2 linked regions of the Callithrix jacchus genome follow. The main gene of each other region encodes a partner of the protein of the gene in region 2 in a complex. Links are inferred from orthologs where the notes say so. Each region holds a gene or a part of one and is shown on either strand. Other genes may lie near its edges. The genes, in order: ARPC5 and ACTR3.

The links.
Region 1: ACTR3 (region 2) and ARPC5 share a complex: the UniProt entries of both Homo sapiens proteins name them as parts of the arp2/3 complex. The link is inferred for Callithrix jacchus from reciprocal best matches to the Homo sapiens genes ACTR3 and ARPC5.

What each region holds. Positions count from the first base shown.
Region 1 is NC_133519.1:41,806,117-41,810,666, forward strand, and holds the start of ARPC5 (actin-related protein 2/3 complex subunit 5), read right to left. Parts: upstream 2,979-4,550; 5' UTR 2,884-2,978; coding exon 2,740-2,883; intron 433-2,739; coding exon 361-432; intron 1-360. UniProt on the Homo sapiens protein: Component of the Arp2/3 complex, a multiprotein complex that mediates actin polymerization upon stimulation by nucleation-promoting factor (NPF).
Region 2 is NC_133507.1:98,527,301-98,531,690, reverse strand, and holds the start of ACTR3 (actin-related protein 3), read right to left. Parts: upstream 2,845-4,390; 5' UTR 2,635-2,844; coding exon 2,591-2,634; intron 2,304-2,590; exon of another isoform or gene 2,137-2,303; intron 1-2,136. UniProt on the Homo sapiens protein: ATP-binding component of the Arp2/3 complex, a multiprotein complex that mediates actin polymerization upon stimulation by nucleation-promoting factor (NPF).

The sequences.
Region 1 (4,550 bases), on a different chromosome or scaffold from region 2:
AGTATTTGTATGTTTTTAAAAAAATCTTTAAAAAGCAATTACAATCTGTTTACTTTTGTAAAGGTTTGTTATTTTTCAAGCCTTTGTCTAAATTCAGCATGAGTGGTCTTCTCTAAAAACACACACAGATGATTTCACTATCATTTGAACTTACTGTGTCTTACCACGCAGCATTATTGTAACTCTACATTACAGGGCTACTTTTTCATGTGAAATTCTTGCCTATCAAACTACATTAGAAGCTATTCTATGTCAAAGATAGAAAAAGGTAAAAAATACTGTTGTTGTTTTTTGCAACTGCAGAAGAGTTTGCTAAGAATAAGATATCTCAGAGGTCACTGTGTTGTGTCTGCCACTCACCTTCACCGCCTGACTCTTGGTGTTGATAGGGGGGTTCTTCAGCGCTGCCTGTAGGGCAGCTGTCATGTTTCCTGTGGTGGAGGTTAAGGGTATAGCAACAAAAGGATGGCCCCCAGGAAAGCATTATAACCACCGGTTCTTAAGACTTTATATATAAAAAGAAAATTACTTTGGTTACCATGTTCAATACCAGATATTCAATGTGTTGGTTTCTAGGATGTTAATCAAGGGCAAAATATCAAAAGCAAAACAGAACATTAGAATTTCTTTTTAATAAAGCAAAGACTGGCTCGCCCCTGGTTCTAACTATCAAATGAATACCTTGATAATCTTTCATTTCCCAGTTAGACACATATGCAAACATTACCTGGAGAAACCCTAAGAAGAAACCCTAAGATATGTATCAGAATTATTAGTCCCCCAAATGAAATAACCGATTATCAACTAAAATATGTTTTTTCATGTGATTCTAGTTGAAAAAGTAAAGACCAAACTTTTACTAGAACTATATTCTATATTAACTAAAATGCTGGTAGAAAATGCTGGCAGATTAGCCATCTGAATGATAGACATTAGCAATCTCTCAATATTGATGAAAAGAGGCATCATAGAAGATGTAATAATTCATATGACCCTTAGGTGGCAGCCTAAGTTTTTGCTTTAGATACTTTCTCTCATATTTTACAAAGGTTATTCAAACTGTGTTAGACCATACCTATTAAATTCAGACTCTTTTTGAAAGCACTAGTGAGTTAGCAAGCATGAGAAACGGAAGGCCAATCAGACTGTCAGAATGTTCAGCCATTCCCCTAAAAGGAAAACCACAGAGTTCACTCGTTCCTCCATCTCCAGCACCCCACCACTAGGGCTGTCTTTCCTGGCTGTATGTAAGAGTAAGAAGAGACAGTATCTTTATATTTTAAGATGAACTGATGAAAAAGCAGATCCACTGATAGGGATACAGCAGTAACATTTAAGAGTCACCACAAATTACCTAAAATACATTGGGGTTTCATAAAACATCATCCATCTCAAATAATGTTTTTACAAAGAATGTTCACCCTTTATCTTCTGAAGAAAAAGGTCTCACACACACAAAATCTCTGGTTGATAAGCTGCAGGGATTTCTAGAGAAGCATGCCTTACGTAGACTGGCTCATTTCTTTATGACCCCCAAGCACTGAAGTATTTAAATAATGCAAAAGAGCAACAGCTAACTGTGAAAGTTGTGGCAATCAAAGCAATACCTATACATTGATAAATGTTTAATGCTGTATTTAGGTGCCTTTATAAAAGAATACAGTTGCCATTAAACATTTTCACTCACACATCTCCCCAATATAATTTAACAGGACATTGTTGAGGAGAGTCTTCCTTATGAATACACTCAAGAGAAGTGCATGCAAACCCAGTAACCGAGATTCTCTAAAACGACAGCCTCGGATTTTTGCAGCATTTACATCGCTCTAAAAAAGATCCGATGCATACGCGAATCAAAATTGATGAATATTCAAATATGCAAAAACCAGAAACCAGGAACTGACAGCCATATTTTAACTAACATGGAATCAATTTTAGGATTACAAAAATGATTCTGCTTTATACAAATGACTCATCTTCTTATTCATTGGGGTTTATTTTAAATATTTCCAAGGATTCTCCACATGCGTTCCCCGTCTTTTTTTCATTATCCTTTTCTTAGCAGGTAAAAGGCTCCAAGTTTTGTATTTTTTGTATTCATTCTCCTCCCCCGATTAACAAATTCTGTGCAATGTATACTTTGCCAAATCCCCCCCCCCTTTTTTTTTAAAGCCAATGGGCTGAAAGCACAGGAGGCCTCAATTTTCGAACCTTTCCATCTCCCCGCTCCCCCTCAGTAAGGAATAAACTACCTTAATGCTACCAATAAGAAAAACACAACAAAAAACAAAGCCACTATGGAAAGACGTCGGGTCCCCACCATCGGAGATTTCTGGAGAGAATGTGACCCCAGAAAATAGAGTTCTAGGAAGAAAAACTTAAGCGCTCGGCACCAGCCTTGCCCACCAGCCCGGGCCGCCTTCCCCTGCTCCGCGAGGGCGCGGCCGGCGGGACCCGTAGCCGAGGCAGGCACTCGGGCGCAACCTGAGGAATCGGGGGGCGTGGAAGGCGCGCGGGGGAGGGCAGGCTTCCAAGAGTGGGACCCTCGCGTCTCCCGGCTACTGGGGAGGAAACGGAAGCTCCCCATGCCCTCGCAGAGCGGGAGACCCCAAAGAGATAGGTTTCGTCGCGGGTTGAGAGTGCAGTTCCGCGCCGGTGCCCCGCGGATCCTGCAGGCGCCCGGGTCCCCGAAGAAGAGCTGGCTGGGCTGGGGTGGGGAGGGCGGCAAATGCAAGGATATTGCCGCAGGCAGGAGTCCACCTCGCCCTCGTCGGGCCCGGCCTGGCCGTCGCCCCCATCTTCTTCGTCCACGAACTTGTTCTCGTCATATTCATCCACGTCCACCTTCCGGAACCGGGCCGACGACACTGTGTTCTTCGACATCCCAATCCCGACCAGCGGCAAAAGCCTCTTGTTGCTGCCTCTACCTCAGCAAGCCCAGCCCAGCAGCCCACTGCCCGACGCCTGATTCACTTCCCTCTTCCGTTCTGGGGCGTCGCCGGCAGCCGTGACTCGGACGGTTCTGGGCCTGCGCGCCGGCCTCGCTTCTTCCTCCTCAGGTTCACGCTCTCCTGGCGCCTCCCACGCCGCCCCCGCTCTTCCACGGGGAGCGCGCGCGAGGGAGGGAGCGCGCAGGCCCGGGCTCAGGACACAGCGCGCAGGCCCGGGCTCTCCGCAGGAAAGGGGCGGGGCGGGGCGAAGGAGGCGGGGGCGAGAGGGAGGGCAGAAAGACGGACGGCGGGCAGAGGTAAGAGGCGATTGGTCGTCCGAGTGCGTCACGTGATTCCCAGGGGTTCCCATAGAAACGCTTTTCTCCGGTCCAGTCTGAGGGGTCTGAGGTTGGCGGCGATGGGCAGCAGCGGCGGGTGGCCTTGGCTTTTGCTGCAGCCATCAACGACCTGTCATCGGGGTCCTGCGTAAGGTCCGGCTGGCTGGGACTTGGCTGTGGGTGGGATGGACTGGCTGCCGGACCGAGTCCCCTGCAGTTGGCAGGAGTATGAGGCGGAGTGATGCACACCCGGGCGCCCAGCATCGTTCTAATTGCCGAAGACGTTGCCTCGGACTGTGCGCTGCCAGGGGCTGCGTTCCTGAGCAGGAAGCCCGTTTCCTGGGGTTGGAACTACCCTACTTGTCCAGCGGGAGGTCCCCAAGGACGGAGTCGAAAGGTCAAATCTTATCTGTCAGTGCTGTGTGACAGCATCGCGACGGGATCTGCAGAACCTGAACTCGGTATCATATCCATTCAGAGGGAGGGGAAGGTGTCCTGGCAGGCGCTGGGGTCGGGTTCTACAAAACTGGGGTGAATTTGTAGAATTTGGGAAAGGGTCATTGGCATCTTAAAATAGGTGGTTGTTTGGAGCAAGAATGCTCGAAGAGGGTGAGGGTAAGTTAGGCTCTCTAGTGCTGGGGAAAAATGTGTAGGATTAGTGGAAAACAGACCTTTGAGATTTATATTATGATTTAAGATTGATATGATTCCATCTAGGCCAGATTTTTAAAAAATTATTTGACATCCCCATTTCTGGAATGTAGGAGATAAAGGTACTACTAAGACGAAGGAAATGGTAGTTGTGCTGTGTGTATTACACTGAAGAACAAATATTTGCAGGATAAAATTAATTTGGACATTGGCTGGACACTGCTCAGGTGTGGGTCCAGTTTAGTTGGACCTTGAGCAGAAGACTGGCTGTTGCCCTGTTGTGTACCTCAATCTTTGGTTTCCTGTGCTGTGTCGAACACTGGGCTTAGAATCAGAAAACTCAGGCTGAAGTCTTGACTCTTCCACTCATAATATTTGAATGAGGCATGTCACTTAAAATTCTGTCTCAGATTCCTCATCACTGAAATGGAGCTAATAATGTGTACTTCACAAGATCGTTCTTAGGATTAAATATCATGGAAGGGTTTCCAAGCTCTAAAATTCTACATAAATGTCAAAGGCATGTTACTTGTACCATTGGTTTTGGCAGTAGTCTTATAAATTGCTCAATGATATGTGGTGCTTTATCTTCTAGAAAGATTCTGAAGGGCAGAGACAGTTTTTCTTTTGT
Region 2 (4,390 bases):
TGGGATTAAGTTTCAAGTCTCCTAACTCTTAACAGCCTTCTTATCTAAGACAATCAAGTTTTACAGATGACCATTTTTTTTATCAGCCACCTTTTCCCTAATTTATATAATGAATAAAATGAACGACCTGATTCAGGTTATAATTTTTTGCTTAAACTAAGTGGGCAATTGTAATCTAGAGACTTAAGAGCTGAATGCATTCTCTAAAGCATAAAGAAATAGACAAATTATAGGTGCACAATTTGCATTCGGGGACCACAGAATTTTGAAATGTAAAAATTCCCTATTAAGGCCATACTTAGAGATGCTTATCTCAGGGGCCCAACCTCAAGGACTTATCCATGTGTTAATAAAGTTGAAGGTGTAACTTTCCTGGAAGAACCACTGGCAACTTAAGAGACCAAAAAGCCTTTTGAGGACCAAAATAACTGAAACTCTAAAGGAAGATTTTCAGGTAGTGACAAATTGTAAAAGAGAGTGAGCTGGCAAAGGGACTCCTAATCAGTTCCATTAAAATCATGAATGCAGTTAGCAACCTCTCCTTGTCGGGGAAACCAATGTAATAATGTAAAAATATACTACTGTAAAAATCAAAATTTTAAAACAGACATATCCTAGATTAAACTGAACCCCTCTCCCTGATCCTACTGGTCATTCAGCATGTTTTAAATTCAAGGTTGCCCTTTAGGAAAGGAGGTCACTTAAGGACAGTTAACCTCAATGAGACATCTAGTATACTAATTTGAAACTATTTCAAAAGGGAAAAAATGGAAAGAATAAAAGTAACATACTACTTGAGATGTTACCATAGTCTTTCTTAGGGCCACAATTATTTACACTATTTTTATTGACAACTCAGTAATTTCTAAAACATTAATTATGTAGCCATATTGTCACTTCAACAAAACATATTGGAAAAGTCCTACTGACTCAGGTCAAATCTAATTTTAAAACTGAACCTAGACATAAAACTACTCACCAATTAAACGAAGAAGGGAGAAAGAAAAAATATTATTGGTTCAGAGAAATGAGACTGGATTAAGAAGAAACTAATCAAGTGTTCATCAAAAAAATACATAGATGTTCCAAAGCTCATCTAGGCTAGTGTTTTCCTGGGGAGAATATTAAGTTGGTTGTTTCTCTACCTGACTGTGATTTTAGAAACTGCCACACTAGCTAGTTATGAGAATGAAGATTAAAGAAATTTTACATGGAATAAAGAGTGAAAGACATACAATCTTTTAAGGAACAATAATGAATATTATTAATAATTATGATTAACAATAATTTTTTTAAAAGCCTTGCAGTCCACCTCTCACGCCTTCCCCCTCAAAAATAAAACTGGGAGTGTTTGGGAATTAGAGCGATGTAATCACAGAAAAAAGAAAACAGTTTCCTATATGTCATCGTGAAGCAGTGATTCTACATTAAAATAAAAGTAGCCTATTCTCTATGTAGTTATACAAAGTGTGGTACAACTCTCTAAAATGTCTATTAATACAAAATGAATGACCACTTTAAAGCCATTCTATATTTTAGCAAACAGCTCTACAGATCTAAGAGTAACTATGTGCAACTTAAACACATTCCTATATACCTCTATACCTTCCTTCCTCCTTCCTTCAAGATACCATCAGAGAAGGAACGTATGCAACTTAAATTATTTTCCAGGGTGTTTCCTTTCTCCCCTCTCCATGAAACACAAGTACATTTTTTTAAGTTACATGAATGAATACCAAGCACCGTTAATTCCGTCTCTTTAAAACCTGCTTAATTTTAAAAGTACTAATAAGTTGTGTTCAGGTTGGAAACGAAAAACTACCTTATAAGGGTATAAAAGACTGAAAGCAGGAAGCGGCTTTGACAAAACTAAGGAAGTTGCAGCGCGCTTGCTCACTGGGGGACTTTTTTGAGGCTACAGAAGTAACACATGACATTTTTCTCTCTCGAATTAAAATGTGACTTGGTTCACCGGTTAAAATGCAGAGGGAGATGGAAATGACCGGGAGTCGAAAAGAGAAGGTGGGTGGTCAAATGAAAGCCCCGCTGTAGGTTCCCATTTTCAGAGTCCGATTCTTCCCCTTCCCCACCCACACCCTGGGCAGAGTGTTGTCACAGCGATCTTGCAAAACCTACCAGGAGCGCTTCTCTTTTCTAGCTCCTCTGCCAGGCCAGTCCCCGAGCACGGCCCCTGGGCCCCCAAACCCACGGGGAAAAGGGGCGCGGAAGGAAAGGAAAGCCGGATGGGTTGGGCCCGGGGACCACCCCCAAAGCGACCGTCCCCAGCACTCTTTGGGCGGCACAGCCCACCGCAGTGGGGGAAGGGCCGGGGGGGGTCGCGCGGAGGAAGCCGCTGGGAGGGTTGGAGGTTGAATCTCGGGCCTGCGCCCCCGCCCCAGTCCTAGGAGGGAGAAACTAGGGGACCGGCGAGGCCCTGGCTCCGGGCCCCACCCCTTGCTAGCCGCCGGGGCTAGGACTGACAGCCGGCGGCGGCACCTTGCCGCACCATTCATTTCCCGGTCTCCTCCCTCCCCCGCCATTTTCCTTCCTCCGCCTCAGTTTCCCCACCCCCGCCCGTCAGCCCCCTTACCCCGTGCCACAGTCCACTACACAGGCCGGCAGCCGTCCCGCCATCTTCCTCCTAGCCTGCTGCTGCTGCTGCCGCCGTCTGCTCCGTGCTGTTAGGGGCCAGAGATTGGCGGCGGGAGACAGGCGCTATCTGACCATCCACAGCCGGGCCGCCCTCACCGTCCGGGGGGTAGCCGGGAAGCCGAAGCAGTAGCAAGAAAGCAGCAGGCTCGGTCAGCGGCTATCACTTCCGCAACCCGGGCAGGCAGGCAGTCCCCGCCCTGCCCCGCCGCGGCCTCCTCCCCCTCTCTCTTCCCTCCTCCTCACTCCTGCCCCCACCCTACAACTTCTTCCCCTCACGCCGCCTTTCCCCGGGAAGCCAAGATGGCCGCCGGTGCCGACGCCCGGGCCCGGCCAGGCTCAGGCCCGGAGAGCTCCCCCTTCCGCTCCGAGCGGGAGGGGCCAGCGAGCATGCGCAATAAGGTACGTTCGCCTGCCCGGGCTCCGATCCCGAAGTTAGTGAAATCCACTGCGAGTTTTCCAGGAGGATAGAGGCGAAGTCTAGCCGAGCTTCTAGTTCTGCTTCTGAAGCTGGAAGGGGCTTTTCGGTTGCAGCCCTTGGGTTAGTTTCAGTTGCTTCTTTGCTAGATTGGGGAAAGAGTGGAAGCGCCTCCTGCAGCCGCGAATATCCTACAGGTCCTGGGAGAAAGCGGTCTAATCGAAAACGTCTGCGGCATGCATCCATTCTTAAAACTTGAGTGGCTGCTTTTCTGGGTGGAAAAGAGCGGTATCAGGGTGAGCAGTCGGGGAATGGATGAACAAAGACTTGTCACCGTGGTCCTTAGGCCTTTGTTGCGGGTTTTATTCAGTTGTACTTGTGCATTGTTACAGGACTTTAGAATGTAGCCCTGCTCCCCAACCTCCACCTCCCAGGGCTGACCTGGGTCCCTAAGGAAGGCAAACCTCCCAGGAATGTATTCTACATAGTATACGCCATCCAAATAGGTCTTTATTCAAGGCTTTTAGATTATGACAACGATTCCCCTCAGGAGTAGTAAGAGTCTACTAGCAGTATAATAGAAAGGATTAAGGGCACTCCCCCCCCCAAAAAAAGTTTTAAGTTAAAAACGGAGGCCGGCCACAGTGGGTCATGCCTGTAATTTCAATCCTTTAGAAGGCCAAAGTGGAAGAATAGGAGAGCTTAAGGCTAGGAGTTCGAGACCAGCCTGGGCAACATAGGGAGGACCCCCCACAACCATCACTCCAAAAAAAAAAAAAAAAAGAAAACTGGAAAGCCTTAAAGAAACCTTTCAAACTTTAGTGTGTATCAGAATCACCTCAAAGGTTTGTTAAAACAGATTGCTGGGCCACACCCCAGCAATTAGAAATTCACATTTCTAATAAGTTCCTAGTTCCACTTTAGAAACCTAGAAGGTTAATATCATTCCTCTCCACCAAGATTTTCTTATGATAAACCATTCTGAGTTTACTAATGTGAAGCTAAAATAAAAATATTTTTTAGAAGGAGGGATATATTATTCAGTCCATAAAATCGTGTAGTGTGGTATTAAGCTGGCCTGGGAAATGGAATTGGGTGTTTCATTTATTCATTTGACAGGTAAGTATTGCTTACCTACTCTATTATGGCAGGGACTCTGCTGACTCTGAATATTCCCTGGGATGGAAAATAGTTAAGGTCTTTTGTAGAGTTTACAGATTAGCGGGAAACAGACAAATTGTGTTAAGTGCAATAGAAAGAAGAGAACTGAGGACTCTGAGAAATGAGGGCGAGGAGTGGGAGAATGGAAGGAAGGTGGAAGGC